3 linked regions of the Stegostoma tigrinum genome follow. The protein of the gene in region 1 purifies or fractionates together with the protein of each later gene. This does not show direct contact. Links are inferred from orthologs where the notes say so. Each region holds a gene or a part of one and is shown in the gene's direction. Other genes may lie near its edges.

What was found. The genes of interacting proteins can lie anywhere in the genome.
Region 2: the proteins of serine/arginine-rich splicing factor 3 (region 1) and 7SK snRNA methylphosphate capping enzyme-like purify together in Homo sapiens (affinity purification with mass spectrometry; 3 studies listed by BioGRID and IntAct, with this or other methods). This does not show direct contact. The link is inferred for Stegostoma tigrinum from reciprocal best matches to the Homo sapiens genes SRSF3 and MEPCE.
Region 3: the proteins of serine/arginine-rich splicing factor 3 (region 1) and larp1 purify together in Homo sapiens (co-immunoprecipitation; 3 studies listed by BioGRID and IntAct, with this or other methods). This does not show direct contact. The link is inferred for Stegostoma tigrinum from reciprocal best matches to the Homo sapiens genes SRSF3 and LARP1.

The regions. Positions count from the first base shown.
Region 1 is NC_081374.1:45,876,052-45,883,466, forward strand, and holds the start of serine/arginine-rich splicing factor 3, read left to right. Parts: upstream 1-4,412; 5' UTR 4,413-4,481; exon of another isoform or gene 4,482-4,545; intron 4,546-7,039; 5' UTR 7,040-7,041; coding exon 7,042-7,247; intron 7,248-7,415. UniProt on the Homo sapiens protein: Splicing factor, which binds the consensus motif 5'-C[ACU][AU]C[ACU][AC]C-3' within pre-mRNA and promotes specific exons inclusion during alternative splicing.
Region 2 is NC_081398.1:9,416,935-9,424,930, reverse strand, and holds the start of 7SK snRNA methylphosphate capping enzyme-like, read left to right. Parts: upstream 1-4,982; 5' UTR 4,983-5,262; coding exon 5,263-6,717; intron 6,718-7,996. UniProt on the Homo sapiens protein: S-adenosyl-L-methionine-dependent methyltransferase that adds a methylphosphate cap at the 5'-end of 7SK snRNA (7SK RNA), leading to stabilize it.
Region 3 is NC_081366.1:13,969,321-13,976,381, reverse strand, and holds the start of larp1 (la-related protein 1), read left to right. Parts: upstream 1-4,047; 5' UTR 4,048-4,073; coding exon 4,074-4,533; intron 4,534-7,061. UniProt on the Homo sapiens protein: RNA-binding protein that regulates the translation of specific target mRNA species downstream of the mTORC1 complex, in function of growth signals and nutrient availability.

The DNA.
Region 1 (7,415 bases):
CAGAGAGAGAGAACTCCTGAACTGGTGGCGTTCTCCTTGTCTTGTTCACATCCCCAAACTATCTGAGAACCAATCATGTTGTTGTTGGCAGGCAGAAGACCTTTGTTACTGATGACTAGCCATGGGGCCAGAAACCAATCAGCTGCTTGTACAAACCAAAGCTCCATGTGTACACAACATTTCAGCTTCTCTGCAAACAACATTTTAACCATTGCTGGAAACACCTGCTGTGTAAACAGTGTCCACAATGCATGTCCGCTTATTTGCTTCAAAACATGTAGCAATCATAAAATCCCTACAGCAGGCCATTCAGCCCATCGTGTCCACACCAACCCAGCCGATCACTGTAACCCTGCGTTTCCCATGGCTAATCCATGAGCCTCCATACTCCTGGAAACTGTGAGCAATTTAGAATGGCCAATCCACTCAATCTGCACATCTTTGGGCTGTGGGAGGAAACTGGAGCAGAGACACAGGGAGATCGTGCAAACTCCAAACCGACAATTGCCTGAGGGTGGAATCGAACCCGGGTCCCTGATGCAGTGCCAACCACTGTGCCACCTACTCATTGTTACTTTCTCATTTCAGTCCACAAGTAAAAATATAGAAGAATAAACAAGTAGGGTCCTTATTAGGCAGGAGAAGAGAGGACCCAATGGTGTTAATAATCAGAAACTTCATTCAAATGCACAAGCAGACAGGCACAAGGGTAGCATGCATGTTTACCTGAGACACCAGGTGACCTGACACGAGGGGTGGCACGGTGGTTCAGTGGTTAGTATTGCTGCCTCACAGCGCCAGGGACCCGGATTCGAGTCCAGTCTCGGGCGACTGTCTGTGTGGAGTTTGCATGTTCTCCCCGTGTCTGCGTGGGTTTCCTCTGGGTGCTCCGGTTTCCTCCCACAGCCCAAAGATGTGCAGGCTGGGTGGATTGGCCAATCTAAATTGCCTGTAGTGTTCAGGGATGCGTATATTAGGTGGTTTATAGGGGGATGGGTCTGGGTGGGATGCTCTGAGGGTCAATGTGGACTTGTTGGGCTGAAGGGCCTGTTTCCACACTGTAGGGCTATGAAGGGCTACAGCCACACCATCAGAAATCTGCTGTCTCAGGCATGTGATTGTCTCAGAGCAGTCTCAAAGTCTGCTGGATATGTGGCCAGACCTGAACTCTCAGAGATAGTAGGAACTGCTGGTGAATCTGAGATAACAAGGTGTAGAGCTGGATGAGCACTCCAGGCCAAGCAGCATCAGAGGAGCAGGAAGGCTGACATTTCAACCTATTTCTGAAGAAGGGTCTAGGCCTGAAACGTCACCTTTTCTGTTCCTCTGATGCTGCTTGGCCTGCTGCATTCATCCAGCTCTACACCTTGTTAACTTAGATTCTCCAGCATCTGCAATTCCTACTATCTCTGATAGAGTTCTGGTCTGTCCACATATCCAGCAACTCCATCAGCGTAGCCACTGGTCTTCAGCAACAGTAAGGCAATAGGGGCAAGAGGAACTTTGAGCTCACTCCAGTCATCCCTTCCTCTCATAGAGACTAGATGGAGGACGAACCACATACTGACCTTCAGAAGTCTTCTAACAGGGAACTCCAGAAGTAGCGGGGTCTTCCTGCTTCACCTTGCCTGCTACCTTCAGACCAAAAGGAGTCTAAGTCAAAGAGGGTGCAGTTGTCTCTTGAAAGGGCATACTGAACATGTCTGGGCTGAGGCCCCCTGGGGCCATCCAGCCAAACTGACAAAGCCAATGGGCTCCAGTATACAGCAGGCTTCCTCCAAACCAGGGACTGCACTGACAGGTAGTGGGAGGGAAAGAAATAAGACCTATTGAGGGTTGTATTGGTAGCACGGGTGACACGTCGTTGTAAATAAGTTCTCACTTTTGTAAATGTGTATTCACTTGTCACTGTCATCTGTTTGTGTATCTCTGTGCATCTGCAAATGCAACGCTGCAGGTACTGCCTCAGCTACCTAGAATACACCTCCTCCCACCCACCCTCCTGCAAAAATTCCATCCCCTATTCCCAATTCCTCCGCCTCCGTCGCATCTGCTCCCACGATAAGACATTCCACTCCCGCACATCCCAGATGTCCAAGTTCTTCAAGGACCGCAACCTCCCCCCCACAGTGATCGAGAACGCCCTTGACCACGTCTCCCGCATTTCCCGCAACACATCCCTCACACCCCGCCCCCGCCACAACCGCCCAAAGAGGATCCCCCTCGTTCTCACACACCACCCCACCAACCTCCGGATACAACGCATCATCCTCCGACACTTCCACCATCTACAATCCGACCCCACCACCCAAGACATTTTTCCATCCCCACCCCTGTCTGCTTTCCGGAGAGACCACTCTCTCCGTGACTCCCTTGTTCGCTCCACACTGCCCTCCAACCCCACCACACCCGGCACCTTCCCCTGCAACCACAGGAAATGCTACACTTGCCCCCACACCTCCTCCCTCACCCCCATCCCAGGGCCCAAGATGACATTCCACATTAAGCAGAGGTTCACCTGCACATCTGCCAATGTGGTATACTGCATCCACTGTACCCGGTGTGGCTTCCTCTACATTGGGGAAACCGAGCGGAGGCTTGGGGACCGCTTTGCAGAACACCTCCGCTCGGTTCGCAACAAACAACTGCACCTCCCAGTCGCAAACCATTTCCACTCCCCCTCCCATTCTCTAGATGACATGTCCATCATGGGCCTCCTGCAGTGCCACAATGATGCTACCCGAAGGTTGCAGGAACAGCAACTCATATTCTGCTTGGGAACCCTGCAGCCGAATGGTATCAATGTGGACTTCACCAGCTTCAAAATCTCCCCTTCCCCCACCGCATCCCTAAACCAGCCCAGTTCGTCCCCTCCCCCCACTGCACCACACAACCAGCCCAGCTCTTCCCCTCCACCCACTGTAACCCAAAACCAGTCCAACCTGTCTCTGCCTCCCTAACTGTTCTTCATCTCACCCATCCCTTCCTCCCACCCCAAGCCGCACCTCCATATCCTACCTACTAACCTCATCCCACCTCCTTGACCTGTCCGTCTTCCCTGGACTGACCTATCCCCTCCCTACCTCCCCACCTCCCCACCTATACTCTCCTCTCCACCTATCTTCTTTACTCTCCATCTTCGGTCCGCCTCCCCCTCTCTCCCTATTTATTCCAGTTCCCTCTCCCCATCCCCCTCTCTGATGAAGGGTCTAGGCCCGAAACGTCAGCTTTTGTGCTCCCGAGATGCTGCTGGGTCTGCTGTGTTCATCCAGCCTCACATTTTATTATCTTGGATTCTCCAGCATCTGCAGTTCCCATTATCTCACTGCAGGTACTAATGCCCCACATCCCTACCACTAGGTAATGTGCCATGGACCAGGGTGCAAAGTGAACAGCTGCTGGCAATGGGTGAATTGCAGATACCGGTGACTTTGGCAACTGGACTCCATCTTGCAGTTGCACAAACACTGCTACTGCATTTGTGTGGTTCAATCGTCATCATGTCATGCTGCATAAGCAACAAGTGTGGGGAGATTGGGACGGCTGACGTGGAGGCGTGGTGAAGGGAGATGGTGAGGGTGATGGGGAGGGGAGATGAGAAGGAGATGGTGAGGGGTTAATGAAGAGGGGATGGTGAAGGGATGATGGGGGGAATGAGGAGGGAATGGTGAGGGGGTGATGGTGAGAGGGGAATGTGGAGAGGGATGTGGACGGGATAGTGAGGGGAATGGGGAGGGGACGGTGTGAGGGGCATGGGGAGGGGATGGTGGGAGGGGGATAGTGAGGGGGGATGGGGAAGAAATGGTGAGGGGGAAAGTGGAGGGGATAGTGAGGGGGATGTGGAGGGGATAGTGAGGGCAATGGGATAGTGAAGGGGGATGGTGAGTGGGGAATGGGGAGGGGACGGTGAGAGGGGAATGGGGAGGGGATGGTGGGAGGGGGATAGTGAGGGGGGATGGGGAAGAAATGGTGAGGGGGAAAGTGGAGGGGATAGGGGAGGGGATAGTGAGGAGGGACGGTGGGATAGTGAAGGGGGATGGTGAGTGGGGAATGGGGAGGGACGGTGAGGGGGAATGGGGAGGGGATGGTGGGAGGGGGATAGTGAGGGGGGGTGGGGAAGAAATGGGGGGTGGGGAAGAAATGGTGAGGGGGAAAGTGGAGGGGATAGTGAGGGCAATGGGATAGTGAAGGGGGATGGTGAGTGGGGAATGGGGAGGGGACGGTGAGAGGGGGATAGTGAGGGGGGAGTGGGGATGGGATGGAGATGGTGAGGGGGGAGAACGGAGGGGACGGGACTGTGTTGGCATGGGGATGGTGGGGGAAGGGAGCGGGCCGAATGCGGGTCCTCCGCCAATCAGACGCCGGGGTTTGGGTGCGGGGGTGGGGCCGGGGCTCACACGTGACTGCAGCTATTTCCGTTAGTTGTGGCGCGAGGCAGCGGCCATTTTGTCTGAGCGCGAGGAGTTGGAGGGAGCGAGCAGGTACCGTGACCGGGGAGGAACCGATAAGGATTAGGGACCCCCCACCATCCCCCTCGCCGGGCTAGTGAGTTACAGGCCGGGAATCGGGGGAGGGGTAAGGTAGGAGGCGGCAGGCGGGCATGAATCACGGCGTGGGCTGGGTCGGTGGGGATCGGCCCTCAGGGTCTCTTGTCCCCGGGCCTGCCGTGAGAGTGCTGCCCGGAGAGCGGCTCTGGGTCAGCCTCTGCCTCCGTGTGTGTATATTATATATATATATATATATATATATGTGTGTGTGTGTGGGTAGGGAAGTGTCAGGAAGTTCAGCCTCTTCCCGGGGCCGTCCTCGGGTGGGGCTCGGCGCCTCTGCCGCCATTTTCTCGGCAGAGACTGAGAACAAAGAGAGCGGCGGTCCCTGGGCCCTGACCCCCGGCCCGGCGGCCAGTACTCGGACTCAACCGGATCCGGGGCATCGCTGGACGCTCGGCGGCGTCAGCGCCGTGTCCTACCCGATCTTGCTAAACACCCACCACACCACCATCTCTCTTCTCTCTTTCCCCCCCCCCCCTCCGATAATCAGGCATTCCCTTCTACCACACACCCCCCCCCCCATACACAGGCATTCCCTTCTACCACACACCCCCCCCCCCATACACAGGCATTCCCTTCTACCACACACCCCCCCCCCCATACATAGGCATTCCCTTCTACCACACACACACACACCCCCATACATAGGCATTCCCTTCTACCACACCCCCCCCCCCCATACATAGGCATTCCCTTCTACCACACACCCCCCCCATACATAGGCATTCCCTTCTACCACACACACACCCCCCCCATACATAGGCATTCCCTTCTACCACACACCCCCCCCCCCATACACAGGCATTCCCTTCTACCACACACCCCCCCCCCATACATAGGCATTCCCTTCTACCACACACACCCCCCCCCATACATAGGCATTCCCTTCTACCACACATCCCCCCACCCCATACACAGGCATTCCCTTCTACCACACACCCCCCACCCCATACACAGGCATTCCCTTCTACCACACACCCCCCACCCCATACACAGGCATTCCCTTCTACCACACACCCCCCCCCCCCATACATAGGCATTCCCTTCTACCACACACACCCCCCCCCCCCCCATACATAGGCATTCCCTTCTACCACACATCCCCCCACCCCATACACAGGCATTCCCTTCTACCACACACCCCCCCCCCCATACATAGGCATTCCCTTTTACCACACATCCCCCCACCCCATACACAGGCACTCCCTTCTACCACACACCCCCCACCCCATACACAGGCATTCCCTTCTACCACACACCCCCCCCCCATACACAGGCATTCCCTTCTACCACACCCCCCCCCCCATACACAGGCATTCCCTTCTACCACACACCCCCCCCCCCCATACATAGGCATTCCCTTCTACCACACACACCCCCCCCCCCATACATAGGCATTCCCTTCTACCACACATCCCCCCACCCCATACACAGGCATTCCCTTCTACCACACACCCCCCACCCCATACACAGGCATTCCCTTCTACCACACACCCCCCCCCCCATACACAGGCATTCCCTTCTACCACACCCCCCCCCCATACACAGGCATTCCCTTCTACCACACCCCCCCCATACACAGGCATTCCCTTCTACCACACCCCCCCCCCCCCCATACACAGGCATTCCCTTCTACCACACACCCCCCACCCCATACACAGGCATTCCCTTCTACCACACACCCCCCACCCCATACACAGGCATTCCCTTTCCCCTTTCTACCCCCCCCCATACACAGGCATTCCCTTCTACCACACACCCCCCCATACACAGGCATTCCCTTGTCCAAAGGCATGACCTTTGCCATTGTGACTTAATTTCTCTGGTCCAAATATGGAGGCAGCTAATGATCCACTAGTTCATGAAGCGTTTGATTTTGTAGCTGTCCCAGTGACAGACTAGCCACTTGAAGGTGTTCAGGTGAAATATTGATCTGTTGTATCCAAGATCTGTTTGGTTTTGTCTGCAAGCTGCTTTAGCAACATTTTAAGCTAACTCATCCCAACTCCTTGTTCACTTCTCAGAATATCTGTGCTGAATATTTGATTACATATGTTTTGCTTTGTAGAGTTTTGCAGCTGTTTCCACAGATATTGGTCTGAAATTACTTGGTTTGTAGTGGTTTCAGGATTCCTCCTGTGGGATAGTAAGCGTTGCATTACTCTCTCTAGACCCTTTGTGTGACTTTAAGGGGGTCAGCAGTGCAATGGACATGTGAAATGTGAAGCAGTTTCATACTTGCATGCAAGTGCTGTGACTGGATACTGGACTTTCTGTGGGGTTTGGTGTCCATTTAAAACATATCTTTTAATGACCTCCATATTGCCATTATACTGATGTTGAGGGATTCCAGATTAATTCCTGAATTATTTAAAGTGCTCATTGTGTTGCTTGTTTTTCGAGGTTTTAAATGTCTATAATGACTCAAGGTTGGCAGAATGTGTAGAATCTGTTAACTAAATTTTTAAAATTTGTATCTTGTATTCCAGCCATGAATCATGGTTCATGTCCTCTTGACTGCAAGGTGTACGTAGGAAACCTTGGAAACAATGGAAATAAGACAGAGCTTGAGAGATCATTTGGATATTATGGCCCTCTCCGCAGTGTATGGGTTGCCCGGAATCCACCTGGATTTGCATTTGTTGAGTTCGAAGATCCGCGAGATGCTTCGGATGCAGTCAGAGAACTTGATGGAAGGTAATTATTTCCCTCCCTAAAGTTGGTGTCATTCCCTTTTGAGTTGTCTTCACAGCTTTTGTTGCATACTTCCCAAAACTGATTCTGAGAAGCAGTCAGATCAATGTGCTGTTGATGAATGGAGACATTTTATGGACATGTGGAACTGCTCCATCTAATGGCCAGAGT
Region 2 (7,996 bases), on another chromosome or scaffold:
AAACAGATTTTGATTTGATTTATTATTGTCACGTACTGAAATACAGTGAAAAGTATTTCCTTTAACATTTCACCTTGTGGGAGAGACCAGAATCAGGGGAAAATAAGGCGTCTTGCACTTAACATGGAGATGAGGAGTGTATTTTTTTTGCTGTCAGTCATTAGTCTGTGGAGCCTGCTTCACCAGAGAATGGTCAAGGCTGGGTCATTGAATATAAAGGTTGCGTCAAGTAGGCTCCTGATGAATACACAGCCAAAAAGAACATTTCTAGTACAGACGGAAAGTGCAGCCGAGTCTACAATCAGATTAGCCACAATGTTATTGAATGATTGAGCAGGACAAAGAGGCCTACTTCATATGGTTGCATATTATGTTGTGTGGCGCTTGGGAACTGGGAGGTAAGGGAGTTGGTACTTAGATCAAGTGGCAGAAGAAACTGACTGTCGCAGACAGGCAGGTCTATATTTCATGGCTCTGGCGAAGACATGGGGAAGATACAGAAAAGATTTACCAGGTATGGAAATTTTGACTTATAAGGTAACACTTGATAGGTTGGGACGTTTTTCACTGGAGCGTAGGAGTTGACAGGCAACATTATAGAAGTTTATAAAACAATGAGGTTGTATAGATAGAGTTAATGGTAGTTGTCTTTTCCCTAGGAAGGGGGTCTTCAAGACTAGGGAACAAATTTTAAGGTGAGAGGAAAAAGATTTAAAAAAAAACGAGGGGCAAGTTTTTCATAGAGGGTGGTTCACGTGTGGAATGAACTTCCTGAGGAAGAGGTGGATGCGGGTACAATTACAATATTTAAAAGACATTTGGATACGGACATGAATAGGAAATGTTTGCAGGGATATGGGCCGGGAGCAGGCAGGTGGGAGTAGTTTAGTTTGGGATGATGTTCAGCATGGGCTGGTTAGACCAAAGGGTCTATTTCCATGCTGTATGACTCTATGACATTTAAGATTACATCGATCATCTGAAACTAAGAACTTTTGCACATGGGCCGCAGGCTGCTGACCAGCACTTCCTCAAAGACAACGAGAGATGGGCAAAAAGATGCTGGCCTCACCAGCAACACCCACTTCCAGCGAATTAATAATTTTCTAACTTGGTTTTACACCGTCTCTAGTGGCAGGAGCATCGGAAACCGGCGCGGGGTGGGGGGGGGGCAGATATTTGGAAATAATTACCAAAGAAATTAAGGACAATAGGTGAGAAAATTCCTTCTTTTTATGCAAGCAAATTGTTGTGATCTGGAACGCATTGCCAGAAAAGGAAATAGAGAAGATTCAATACTTTTGTCCATGGTGTCTACCATCACCTTTAACTCTCGAGGTGAGAGCAAGGAGTCAGCTCCTAAATCTACTTGATCTAAACTGGGAATCAATCTAAACCATGCGCTAAAAATCTAGCCAATTTAGCTAAACAGCCCCCGCAGTGGTTTTGTTACTGAATTTATAAGATATATAGAATCCCTATGGTGTGGAAGCAGGCCATTTGGCCCATCACGTCCACACCGACCCTTCAAAGAGCATACCACCCAGACCCAGCCTATTCCTATAACAGGCAGCTCCGTGGTTAGCACTGCTGCCTCACAGTGCCGGGCTCCTGGGCTCAATTCCACGCTCGGGTGGCCGTCTATGTGGAGTTTAGACATTTTCCCCATGTCTGTGTGTGTCCTCCGGGTGCCCTGGTTTCCTCTCACAGTCCAAATATGTGCAGGCTAAGTGGATTTAAAACATAGAACATAGAAAAGTACAGCACAGTACATTTGCCAGGGAAAATTGTCCATAGTGTTGAGGGATGTGTAGATTAGTTGGATTAAAGGAGGATGGGCCTAGGTAGGATCCTCTGAGAATCGGTGTGGACTTGTTGGCATGAAGGGCCTGTTTCCGCATTCTAGGGATTCTATAAAAAATGTGCATTTCCCATGGCGAACCCACCTCGACCACACTCAACACTCTGGACACTATGGGCAACTTAGCATGGCCAATTCACCTTTGGATTGTGGGAGGAAACTGCAGCATCCAGAGGGAACCCATGCAGATACAGGAAAAACATGCAAACTCCACATAGACAGTCACCAGAGGGTGGAATTGAACCTGGGTCACTAATGCTGTGAGGCAGCAGTGCTAACCACAGAATCACCATGCCACCCCAATAATCTCACGACTCGATAAAATCCCACATGAAGAAATTCCAATTTAATCACTCGGGATTAAAATTAGTCACAGGCCGAGCATAAAACTGCTGAATGAAGGGCTCTTGTAGTGTGCATTGGTAGTGACCCCACCTCCAAGTTCAATTCCCAACTACTCCAGAGATTTGTCATAACATGTCTGAACAGGTTGATTAAAATAACCATAACTTTGGAACTCGTTAAAAAAACTCATCTCATTCACTAAGTACGATCACCACAGTGACTGCAAAGGTTTGACAAAGCAGTTTTCATAACCTTTCATGTTCTCAAGGGGATCAACAGACAGTCAGAGAATATTAGCTTTCTTTGTGTTGCCAATTTCCTGAGAAAGAATTTAAAGGAAAAGACTTGTATGTATATGGTACTCTTCACAGCTCATGGTACTTTGCAGCCAATTAAGTACATTAGTCTTTGCGTAATACAAGAAATAGTTTTAACCCATCACAAGTACCATCCAGAACAAATTGTATGAGAAATCCTCCAGCAGCAACTTCCCTCCAAGCTCCATACCACCGTGACTTGGAAATATGTTGTTGTTCCTTCACTGTCGCTGGGTCGAGAATGATATTCCCAGCCCCACATCACTGTCGATGTATCTACAATGTGTGGAGTGAATTTTTAATAAACTTTCAGGGGTGCATCTGAGGCCAGGTTTTGTTGCCCATCTCCAATTGGCCCCAAGTAGAGTGGCTTGATTGACCACTTCAAAGGGCAGTTAAAGAGTCAATCAGATGTTGTCGGCCTGGAGACAGTCAGGGAAGTTAGAGAAGATAAGATTTATACCCTATCTGTCATTGAGTTATACAGCATGGAAAGAGGCCCTTTGGCACATTGCATCTGGGATAATGATCAATCATCCATCTATTCAAATCCCATTTTCAAGCACTTGGACATGCTCATGCAAATAGTTCTTAAATATCTTGAGGGTTCCTGCCTCTACCACCCTGCCTCAGTGAGTTCCAGACATTCTCTACTGTCTAGGAGAAACTTTTATTCCCCAAATCCCTGCTGTGAGTTCCCTTCCAGCGGCCAGCTTTTAGAAACAGAGTAGTTCAGCCAGAGGCTGGGAAATAGACCCAATGTGGCTTTGTTTCTAGTAGGTGAATGCCCAGTGTTTGGAGGTGAGGAGTTTTGTGGGGGGTGGGGTGAGGAGACGGTTGGGGAGAAGGAAATGAGGGGAGATGGGAAGAGAGAGACGGAGGAGAAATGTGTAGGAAGGGGAGTTGGGGAGGATATGTGGGAGATAGGGATAAAGAGATAGAGGAAATAGGAAGAGGGAAGGGGGAAAGAGATGGTGGGATCAGAGATGGGGGTGGGGAGTGGGTAAGAGGAGTTAGAGATGGTGGGATGTGAGAGTTGTGGGAACACGGTTGGGGGTGGTCAGGTAGGTGGGATGTTGACGGGGAGAGACAGTGGGAGGATATTGGGGGCAAGGTTGAAAGATGGGCGGGGGGGACCGCAAGTAGGGGTTAAACGGGGACGGAGGGAGATGAAGGGGTGGGGAGAGGCGTGGAAGTGGAAGGAAACTACAACTCCCATCGGGCACCGCTTCGGGCCACTGTCACGTGATCGCCCCCAACGGATGTCGAGTCGAGCGCCAACCGACAAAAAGACGACGTGAGAGCCCCAGGGCGTCGAACGGAATTTTTTTCTCTAACGATTTCTTCCAACTTCCCCCCTCCACCCCCTCCCAGCAGCCGGCGGGCCTGGCTCTGAGGGTGTCCGCACCCCCGTGAAGTAAACGCCGAGCCTGTGAGACGGCCCCGGTTCCCGTTTGAGAAGTCGGGTTTGTTTTTCGCCGCGCGGAAGGAGGGAGGCGAGCCGCGGCCGGCGCCTGAATGATGGCGGGGAGGGGAAACAAAAACAACACTCCACATCGGGGACGGACGATTGAAAACCCCCGTACACACCATCAGCCCTCCCTCCCTCAGACGACGGCGGGGATTAACCTTGCGTCCCCGCCTTAACAGAACAAGCTTGAGGACTCTCCCTGTCTACTGGGGCTGGGAAACACGTCGAACCAAAACTCAGATGTTACATATTAATTATTATACCTTATTTCTGTTTTTTTAAAAAACAATCTATTTTTTTCCGTCGGTGAGGACGGACGCCTAGGCGGCCCTCCCCTCCCCCACAACCTCCGTGTCCCGCCTTCCAGCGGTTGTGGGGGGAGGGGCGGGGCTAAGGGTGGCTGAAGTCCCGCCCATCCCTTGTATCCGGATTGGCCGGGGCCGGGAAGAGGTTCGCCGCGCGACGCGCTCCCCTTCTGGCCGATTGGTGGGGACGGATGTCTATCAGCCGAGGGGCGGTCCAGCTTGGTTATAAAAGGAGACGCAAGCGCACTGTGAGGGGAGAAAGGGGGGGGAGGGGACAGGGAAAGGGAGAGAGAGGAAAAAAAATAGCGAGTGCGCCTTAGCAGCTCCAAGGGGTGGTGAGCGAGGAAAGGGGGGGGTTTTGAAAAAAAGTGATTTTAATTTTCTTTTAAATAAGTGGGTGGGGGGTGGAGTTCGAAGCGAAAGGGAAGAGGGGGGTGGTGGTGTGAAAAGCAACCGTGTGACTTCCACCGAATGAATAAGCACGGTTCGTCGCTTGCGGATATATTTCCGCTTTAAGTTCCACAAACTTGACAATCGAGGGCTTTAAAGTTGCCATTTTGGATTTTTCGGTCAGGTGGAGGATAGAAAGGACTGGGTTTAGCGGGGGAGGGGTAGAAGCGGGAGTCGATAAACAAAACCCGTGAAGGTTGGTGGTGAGGGGGTGTGGGGGGGAGGGGGTGAGTTGATTGTTCGCTAAGGTCCCAGAATATGAATAATTCATTTATGTTGATGAGACGCGCTGACGTCACGGGCGACGTGGGATTCCGTTAGAGTGCGTAACGGCGACGTCGTGCACTGGTTGCAACTTGGGTGGGGGGAGGGGGAAGGGCTGACTCAGCCCCTGGTGCTTGGGAAGTTGCTGCTGCACTGGGCAAACGGGGGCGCTATCACAGGAGAGAGAGCCAGGCCGACCCACACGCCAGCAACCACCCCCTGTGGCCAAGAGGCTCCCCATGCCGTCTGATGGCGGCGTCGGTCGAGGAAGATTCTGTCAGGGAGGTGACCCTCCTGAAGCCCGAGTACCTGTCTGCCATGGGGGTCGAGGAGCTACACCGCCACCCGGGCAGGGTGCTGACGCCCGTCAGTGAGGAGGTTGCCCTGTCCCCTGGTGCCAAAGATGAGGTTGACAGCGTGGCGGAGCTGAGCCGGCCAAGGAATGGGCTCCAGCCCTTGCAGCAGCAGAGGGCCTTCAAACGGAGGAATAGCTTGAACGTAGGCTTCAAGCACCCCGGGTTCAAGAGGAGGCGCCGCGTCAACTCAGACTGTGACCCGGTGCTGCCCAGCAATTTCCTGCTGGGCGGTAACATCTTTGACCCGCTCAACCTCAACAGCCTGCTGGACGAGGACGTCAACAAGGCTCTTAACGCTGAGACCCCCAAGTCCTCGCCTCTGCCCAGCCGGAACCGCGACCCGGTAGAGATCCTCATCCCCAAGGACATCACCGACCCGCTCAACCTCAACAATGACTCCGAGGTCCTGCCATCGCCCCTCAAGTTGGGCCGCAAGAGGCGACACCGTCATTACCACCACCAGCCTGGCCAGCAACCCCAGTCTGCCACCGCCACCGAATCAGCGGAGAGGAACCAAGTTCTCCCACTGGACCCAAGCTCCCGGGACTGCCTTGTGGGTCAGAACCCAGCAGGAACAAGCGTGGGGCCGGGGTCCTCCGAGGTGCCAACTGAGCCTGAGGGCCCCCAGCCCTACGAGCTCAACACCCTCATTAACTGCAGGGACGAGATTGTGTCACCTGTCCTCCGTGGCTCCGAGCAAGCCCCAACTGGAAGCCGGCATCGCAAGCGGCGCCGGACCGCCAGCAAGTCCGAGCTGGGCAAGATCCCGACCAGCTCGGAGGAAGAGCCGAGGCTGCCAGGTGCGGATGCCAAGAAGCCAATGCCAGAGAAGGCAAAAGGCAAGGCATCTCACCACCACCATCACCAACACCACCAGCAGCAACACAGCTTCCAGCGCCACTCTAGCCTGCACCGTGATGGCAAGGCCCAGCCCAACTTCCAGAGCAAACAGAAGCGGTTCCAGTATGGCAACTACACCAAGTACTACGGCTACCGTAACCCAGGCCGCTGTGAGGACCCCCGGCTCAGCTTCTTCAAGCCTGAGTGGTTCCAGGGCAAGGACATCTTGGACCTGGGCTGCAACGCGGGCCACCTGACGCTCAGCATCGCCAAAGACTTGAAGCCCTCGCGCATTGTGGGCATCGACATTGACGGTAGCCTCATCCACACGGCCCGACAGAACATCCGCCATTTCCTGTCGCAGGACATGCTGCCGTCGCAGGGCGATGGGCAGGTGAAGAGGCGCTTCCCGCTGTCGCTGACCAAGTGTAAGGGCCCAATCGCTGCCCCACCCGTGGCTGTGGATCGCTGTGTGGCTGAGTTCCCCAATAACGTCACTTTCATCCAGGTGAGTGCATCTGGTATGCTTTTTGTGGAGAAGGGAGTTTCACCTTGGCTACTAATCTTGTAAATTAAACATTTGGCGTTGCAAAAAAGTCCCAAATGACCCCTTGAACCAAACTCCATAGATTAGGGGCACTCAAACGCCATCCGGGGGGCACACCTTCAGTAGATGGCTGTTTACAACCTTAACAGTTGCTTTGTGTTTGTGGAAATGTAAAGATTTTTGGTGTTATCTTGACAATGCACGCATTCTTGAAGCACGCATTACTTTGCAAGTAGGACGTGTAAACAACTTCTTCCCCCCCCCCACCCCCGGCTGTGAATGTTAAGACATGAGAGCATTTCAGGTTTTGTAACCTTGCCCAGGGAGTGCTCCAAACGAAGAGGGCTTTTAAAAGTTTCTCATTCCTGTTGCAGAATGGCTCAGGGCCATTACATGCCTTCAGAACATTCAACTGAGTGTCTGTGAAACTGCGTTTGTGGGTTTTTGAGTCACTTTTAAAATGCTGCTTCTAGCAAAACGACGTTTAGCGTGAGTGTATGTTCCGCCTTTTATTTTAAGCTGACCCTATGTCTTATCAAGTTTTTGTGTCTGCAGCCAGCTGTTCAGCTTTACTAATTTGAAATGGTGGCTACACATGTCTTCTGTATGGTGTACTTGTTGAGTTTGGGGCTGTGGCCTATTCCTGTCCTGCTCTTTCCCCTCTGCGTGAGATTTCCTTGCACTGAAAATCCTGTCACTCGGCATGTTTCTGGTTTGCCCACGAGGAGGTGCCCCTTGTACTGAGCAATCGTTCGTTTCTTTGACTTATGATTTTCACTTCTGGGGTCGAATTGATGAACTTTTATGATTTCAAAACTAAACCCTCGACCACCACCACCCACCACCTGCACTCTCTTTTTTGGGAAAATGAAGTCAACGGATCGCGATAATGCGATTGATGCATTTTAATTTTGAAATTCCTGTTCCTAGTGCCTCCTGCAAACATTGATCTAACAAAGAACTGTAAAAGCCGCTGGAAGTGTGTAACAGATGCAGAAATGCTCAAGAAAATCCTACGGAATAGCATTACACTCTATTTGCAATCAGTTGGTCCAAATGATGAACATTTCTCTTCACATGCAGCGCACCTTTTATCAACCAGTGTCTATGGGACCAGGAGTGTGCTAGTTGATAAAATATTCTGGATAATCGAGAAGTCCACATAATCATTGTAGAAGCATCCACTAAGTAATGGAAACGTGATGCAGGGGGTGTGCATGTCACTGTGAGACTTTAATTA
Region 3 (7,061 bases), on another chromosome or scaffold:
CGGGGTTCTGTGTAGGGGAGGGGGATGTGTTTGGGATGTTGCTGGGTTCTGTGTCGGGGAAGGGGGTGTATTTGGGATGTTGCTGGGTTCTGTGTCGGGGAGGGAGATGTGTTTGGGATGTTGCTGGGTTCTGTGTCGGGGAGGGGGGCGTATTTGGGATGTTGCTGGGTTCTGTGTTGGGGAGGGGGGTGTATTTGGGATGGTGTGGGGTTCTGCTTTGGGGAGGGGGATGCGCTTGGGATGTTGCTGGGTTCTGTGTGGGGGAGGGGGATGTGTTTGGGATGTTGCGGGGTTCTGTGTAAGGGAGGGGGATGTGTTTGGAATGTTGCGGGGTTCTGTGTGGGGAGGGGGATGTATTTGGGATGTTGCTGGGTTCTGTGTGGGGAGGGGGGTGTATTTGGGATGTTGCTGGGTTCTGTGTCGGGGAGGGGGGTGTATTTGGGATGTTGCAGGGTACTGCTTTGGGGAGGGGGGTGTGTTTGGGATGTTGCTGGGTTCTGTGTCGGGGAGGGGGGTGTATTTGGGATGTTGCTGGGTTCTGTGTGGGGAGGGGGGTGTATTTGGGACGTTGCTGGGTTCTGTGTCGTGGAGGTGGGTGTATTTGGGATGTTGCGGGGTTCTGTGTGGGGGAGGGGTGTGTGTTTAGGATGTTGCGGGGTTCTGTGTGGGGGTGGGGGGTGGGTTTGGGATGTTGCGGGGTTCTGTGTAGGGGAGGGGGATGTGTTTGGGATGTTGCGGTGTTCTGTGTCGGGGAAGGGGGTGTATTTGGGATGTTGCTGGGTTCTGTGTCGGGGAGGGCGGTGTATTTGGGATGTTGCTGAGTTCTGTGTTGGGGAGGGGGTTGTATTTGGGATGGTGCGGGGTTCTGCTTTGGAGAGGGGGATGTGCTTGGGATGTTGCTGGGTTCTGTGTGGGGGAGGGGGATGTGTTTGGGATGTTGCGGGGTTCTGTGTAAGGGAGGGGGATGTGTTTGGGATGTTGCGGGGTTCTGAATGGAGGAGGCGAATGTGTTTGGGATGATGCAGGGTTATGTGTGGGGAGGGGGGTGTATTTGGTATGTTGCTGGGTTCTGTGTGGGGAGAGGGGTGTATTTGGGATGTTGCGGGGTTCTGTGTTGGGGAGCGGGGTGTATTTGGGATGTTGCTAGGTTCTGTGTGGGGGAGGGGGATGTGTTTGGGATGTTGCGGGGTTCTGTGTAAGGGAGGGGGATGTGTTTGGAATGTTGCGGGGTTCTGTGTGGGGAGGGGGGTGTATTTGGGATGTTGCGGGGTTCTGTGTTGGGGAGCGGGGTGTATTTGGGATGTTGCGGGGTTCTGCTTTGGGGAGGGGGTGTGTTTGGGATGTTGCTAGGTTCTGTGTGGGGGAGGGGGATGTGTTTGGGATGTTGCGGGGTTCTCTGTAAGGGAGGGGGATGTGTTTGGGATGTTGCGGGGTTCTGTGTAGGGGAGGGGGATGTGTTTGGGATGTTGCTGGGTTCTGTGTAGGGGAGGGGGATGTGTTTGGGATGTTGCGAGGTTCTGAATGGAGGAGGCGAATGCGTTGGGGATGATGCAGGGTTATGTGTGGGGGAGGAGGGTGTATTTGGGATGTTGCTGGGTTCTGTGTGGGGGAGGGGGATGTATTTGGGATGTTGCTGGGTTCTGTGTCGGGGAGGGGGGTGTATTTGGGATGTTGCTGGGTTCTGTGTGGGGGAGGGGGTGTGTTTGGGATGTTGCTGGGTTCTGTGTGGGGGAGGGGGATGTGTTTGGGATGTTGCGGGGTTCTGTGTAAGGGAGGGGGATGTGTTTGGGATGTTGCGGTGTTCTGTGTAGGGGAGGGGGATGTGTTTGGGATGTTGCTGGGTTCTGTGTATGGGAGGGGGATGTGTTTGGGATGTTGCGGGGTTCTGAACGGAGGAGGCGAATGCATTGGGGATGATGCAGGGTTATGTGTGGGGCAGGAGGGTGTATTTGGGATGTTGCTGGGTTCTGTGTGGGGGAGGGGGATGTATTTGCGATGTTGCTGGGTTCTGTGTCGGGGAGGGGGGTGTATTTGGGATGTTGCTGGGTTCTGTGTGGGGGAGGGGGTGTGTTTGGGATGTTGCTGGGTTCTGTGTGGGGAGGGGGTTGTATTTGGGATGTTGCTGGGTTCTGTGTCGGGGAGGGTGATGTATTTGGGATGTTGCGGGGTTCTGCTTTGTGGAGGGGGGTGTATTTGGGATGTTGCTGGGTTCTGTGTGGGGGAGCGGGATGTATTTGCGATGTTGCTGGGTTCTGTGTCGGGGAGGGGGGTGTATTTGGGATGTTGCTGGGTTCTGTGTGGGGGAGGGGGTGTGTTTGGGATGTTGCTGGGTTCTGTGTGGGGAGGGCGTTGTATTTGGGATGTTGCTGGGTTCTGTGTCGGGGAGGGGGATGTATTTGGGATGTTGCGGGGTTCTGCTTCGGGGAGGGGGGTGTATTTGGGATGTTGCGGGGTTCTGTGTCGGGGAGGGGGATGTATTTGGGATGTTGCGGGGTTCTGTGTCGGGGAGGGGGATGTATTTGGGATGTTGCGGGGTTCTGTGTCGGGGAGGGGGATGTATTTGGGATGTTGCGGTGTTCTGTGTCGGGGAGGGGGATGTATTTGGGATGTTGCGGGGTTCTGTGTCGGGGAGGGGGGTGTATTTGGGATGTTGCGGTGTTCTGTGTGGGGGAGGGGGATGTATTTGGGATGTTGCTGGGTTCTGTGTCGGGGAGGGGGATGTATTTGGGATGTTGCGGTGTTCTGTGTCGGGGAGGGGGATGTATTTGGGATGTTGCGGGGTTCTGTGTCGGGGAGGGGGGTGTATTTGGGATGTTGCGGTGTTCTGTGTGGGGGAGGGGGATGTATTTGGGATGTTGCGGTGTTCTGTGTCAGGGAGGGGGATGTATTTGGGATGTTGCGGGGTTCTGTGTCGGGGAGGGGTGTGTATTTGGGATGTTGCGGTGTTCTGTGTGGGGGAGGGGGATGTATTTGGGATGTTGCGGGGTTCTGTGTCGGGGAGGGGGATGTATTTGGGATGTTGCGGGGTTCTGTGTCGGGGAGGGGGGTGTATTTGGGATGTTGCGGGGTTCTGTGTCGGGGAGGGGGGTGTATTTGGGATGTTGCTGGGTTCTGTGTCGGGGAGGGGGGTGTATTTGGGATGTTGCGGGGTTCTGTGTCGGGGAGGGGGGTGTATTTGGGATGTTGCGGGGTTCTGTGTCGGGGAAAGGGGTGTGTTTGGGATGTTGCGGGGTTCTGTGTCGGGGAGGGGGATGTATTTGGGATGTTGCGGGGTTCTGTTTGGGGGAAAGGGGTGTGTTTGGGATGTTGCGGGGTTCTGTGTCGGGGAGGGGGGTGTATTTGGGATGTTGCGGGGTTCTGTGTCGGGGAGGGGGGTGTATTTGGGATGTTGCTGGGTTCTGTGTCGGGGAGGGGGGTGTATTTGGGATGTTGCTGGGTTTTGTGTGGGGGAAAGGGGTGTGTTTGGGATGTTGCGGTGTTCTGTGTCGGGGAGGGGGGTGTATTTGGGATGTTGCGGGGTTCTGTGTGGGGGAGGGGGGTGTATTTGGGATGTTGCTGGGTTCTGTGTCGGGGAGGGGGGTGTATTTGGGATGTTGCTGGGTTCTGTGTGGGGGAAAGGGGTGTGTTTGGGATGTTGCTGGGTTCTGTGTGGGGGAAAGGGGTGTGTTTGGGATGTTGCGGTGTTCTGTGTCGGGGAGGGGGGTGTGTTTGGGATGTTGCGGTGTTCTGTGTCGGGGAGAGGGGTGTGTTTGGGATGTTGCGGTGTTCTGTGTCGGGGAGGGGGATGTATTTGGGATGTTGCTGGGTTCTGTGTCGGGGAGAGGGGTGTGTTTGGGATGTTGCGGTGTTCTGTGTCGGGGAGGGGGGTGTGTTTGGGATGTTGCTGCGTTGGTAACGGGGCGTGGGTGTGGGCGGGCTCTGTTTTTCAAGTCCCACCCACCGTTGCTCGCTCCCTCGGGTCAGCTGGGGAACGGCGGAGTACGTGCGCGCCCCGCGTCAGCGTGGGTTCGGCGCGGTGCGTGCGCGCGTACGCTGCTGCCACACGGAGTCCGAGTGCGAGCCCAGCCGCCGCCATGGCCACGCAGGTGCAGAGTCTGCCGTCGCCTCACGGAGCCCAGGCCCCGGAGCAACCGCGTTCGGAGCCGGCCCAGAACTCGGTACACGCCCAGGCCCCGGCATTGCGCCAGGCCGCCGGGCCCGAGCAGGCGTCCTCCCAGACCGGGGCTGGCACCGGCACCAGGCCTGAGGCCAAGCGCCTCATGGCAGCCCCGCCGCCCAAGGTGAACCCGTGGAGTAAAACGGCCTGTGCCGGCGAGTCCGGCGCTCCCAGCCCGGCTCCGCCTGCAGAGCCCGGAGTGGCCTCCGGACCTGGACCAGGGCCCGGCTCCGAGCCCCCGGGACAGGCTGGAGACAGCGCTGAGGAGCAGAGGGCCGGTGGCTGCGGCCGCAGGAAGGAGTTCATCGAGGCGCCCCCGCCCAGAGTCAATCCCTGGACCAGGAGAGTGAGCGGGAGCGGCGTGGAGACCGAGCCAGGTTAGTGCAGGCCCATGAAGGAGAAAGAGGGTGAGGAATCTGTGGCCGGGCCCAAGACTGGGACAGGTGTTGGGGTGGGGTGGGGTTTGATCGATAAGTAAGGGGGTTGCTCAGTCCCCTGCCACCCCCATCTTTAAAACTCCCAGATCCCAAATTTCTTTTCGCCATCCCCAGTCCAAGGATCTGTGGTAGGGGAGTACCCAGTGTCAGATTCAGCTTCCCAGGTCCTATGTTGTGGGTATACTAACCTTCCCTGATTTTAGATCCCGAATCCTTTGCTTCACATCCCTCCCCTGCCCCCGAAGCTCCCAACCAGTGCTCCCAGACATTACTTACTTGTTAGATCTCACCACCGTACCACACCTGAGATTTGGGAGTCCCTGTCTGCAGATCACTCATCTGACTGCACTCACACATCAATTCTTATTCGTCTCTACCTCACTGCTTGATCTGCCAGTTCAGGATTCTTGCTCCAAACCTGTGGACCAGGCATCCCTGTCCACCCGAGCTGAAACTCCTGTTACAAACAATGTTTATGCCCAGGATTTTGTCTTTTTTTCCTGTTGCGTTCTGAGATGCTGTAACGGTGTGATTCATGCTCAACTTTGATCCTTTTGTCATTAGAACAGGATATTATGGGGTAGCTTGACATGTTAAAAGTTACGAAGGGATGGAACAGAGTTTTATGTGACCAGAGGCCATTTAAGAATTGGTTGGTGGTTGATGGAGTGAAGGGTGCTGGGAAATGGTGAGGAGATAGGATCGTGACTGTTGGTGTGGAGAGCATGTGATGCTTTCTTTTCATACCTGTATTCTGTTTCTGCATGCATTTTTACTGTTAGCAACATGTGCACGATTGAGCAAATAGTCTTTTTCTTTGCCAATTAATTGGATGATAAATCTACAAAAAAGTGGAGAAGCTGTTACTCGGGAATGGCTCACATGACCTGTGTGGATTATATGCGACATGGTTTTTTTCTTAACCTAGTTGTGGTATTGTACTTCTCCTTTATTGAGCAATGAAATCATCGAAGCATATTCCTAATACTTAAGGACTGAAATGTAAACTGATACTGGCTTCTGGGCATGGATGATCCTTCCCCAAGACTTGGATCGGTTCTGCATGCAGCAGTGCAGTGAGGAGAAGAGTTAAATGGATACTGGGATACGTTCATCAAGCAATGCACCATTTTTGTTCAAAAAGATTTTTCAGGGTTTTGCCAAAATTCTGAAATGGGTGTCATCTTGAGTGTTTATTGCAGATAAAGTTGAAGTTGAATGTCGGCGTACTGAAAAACTAACGCAAAATTCTGGAATACACACCAATTTAGTTGGAATCTGAAAGACAGCGGTCATGGTTTAGGGTGGAGACATTGTCACAAATGAATGTATGTCTGAAGCTCTGTTTTCATCCGGACATTAGCCTGTTCTTTCTGATTAATGTCGGTGATTCTGAAGCACTTTTTAAATCAGTCCCTGATCTTAAAACCTGTTCACATGAAGCATGTTGCTCTGCTTCTAGTTACCAATCTTCTGTGAATGATAACACTGCACGTTGGAACAGAACCATGTCCTGCATAAACTACTCATCTGGGACCCTAGCACTGTGACACAGGTTCATGTTTACAATGGAGAAATAATAGAACATAGAACGTTACAGCACAGTACAGGCCCTTCGGCCCTTGATGTTGTGCTGACCTGTCATACCGATCTCAAGCCCATCTAACCTACACTATTCCGTGTATGTCCATATGCTTATCCAATGAGGACTTAAATGTACCTAAATCTTCTTTTATTTACATAGTGCCTGACCATGATTCCAGGTTGCCCAAAGCGCACTTGCAGCAAAAATTACTTCGGAAGTACGACTCCAGTCATATTGGCAAATATGGCAGCCAGGTTATGTGATCAAAAACAGTACTTTTGAGTTCTTCTACATGGTGAAACATTCCAAGGCACTTCACGAGAGCAAGAAAGTTTTGGATGCCCAGCCACTAGACATATTAGACCAGAAGAGAGATGTTTTACACACTGTCTTGAAGCAAGAGAGGGATGGAGAGGTTTAAGGAGGGAATTCCAGAAAATATAGTTTCTGCAGCTGAATGCACAGTTGCCAGTAGTTCATTGTAAAACCTGGAGATACTCTAGACCAGAATTGGAGGAGTGCACGTAAATGGGTTACAGAAACACGTTTGCATTTATATAGCATCTTACATCACCATAGGATGCTCCAAAGAATTTACAATTTACAAAGCACTTTTTGAAGTATAATTATTGTAAAACTGTGCAGCAAAATTGTGCGCAGCAAGATCCCTCAAGTAACTACTTTTCATTTGATTGGAGGGTAAATATTGTCCATGCACTGGGGTAACTCCCATGCTCTTCAATATGATGCAATAGGAACATTTACATCTACATGGGAGGATAGGAGGGGCCCCAGATATAATGCTTCATCCAAAAGACATTAACTCTGACATTGCAACATTTCTTCGTATTGCATTAGGTTACCAACCGAGATGTTTATGCTT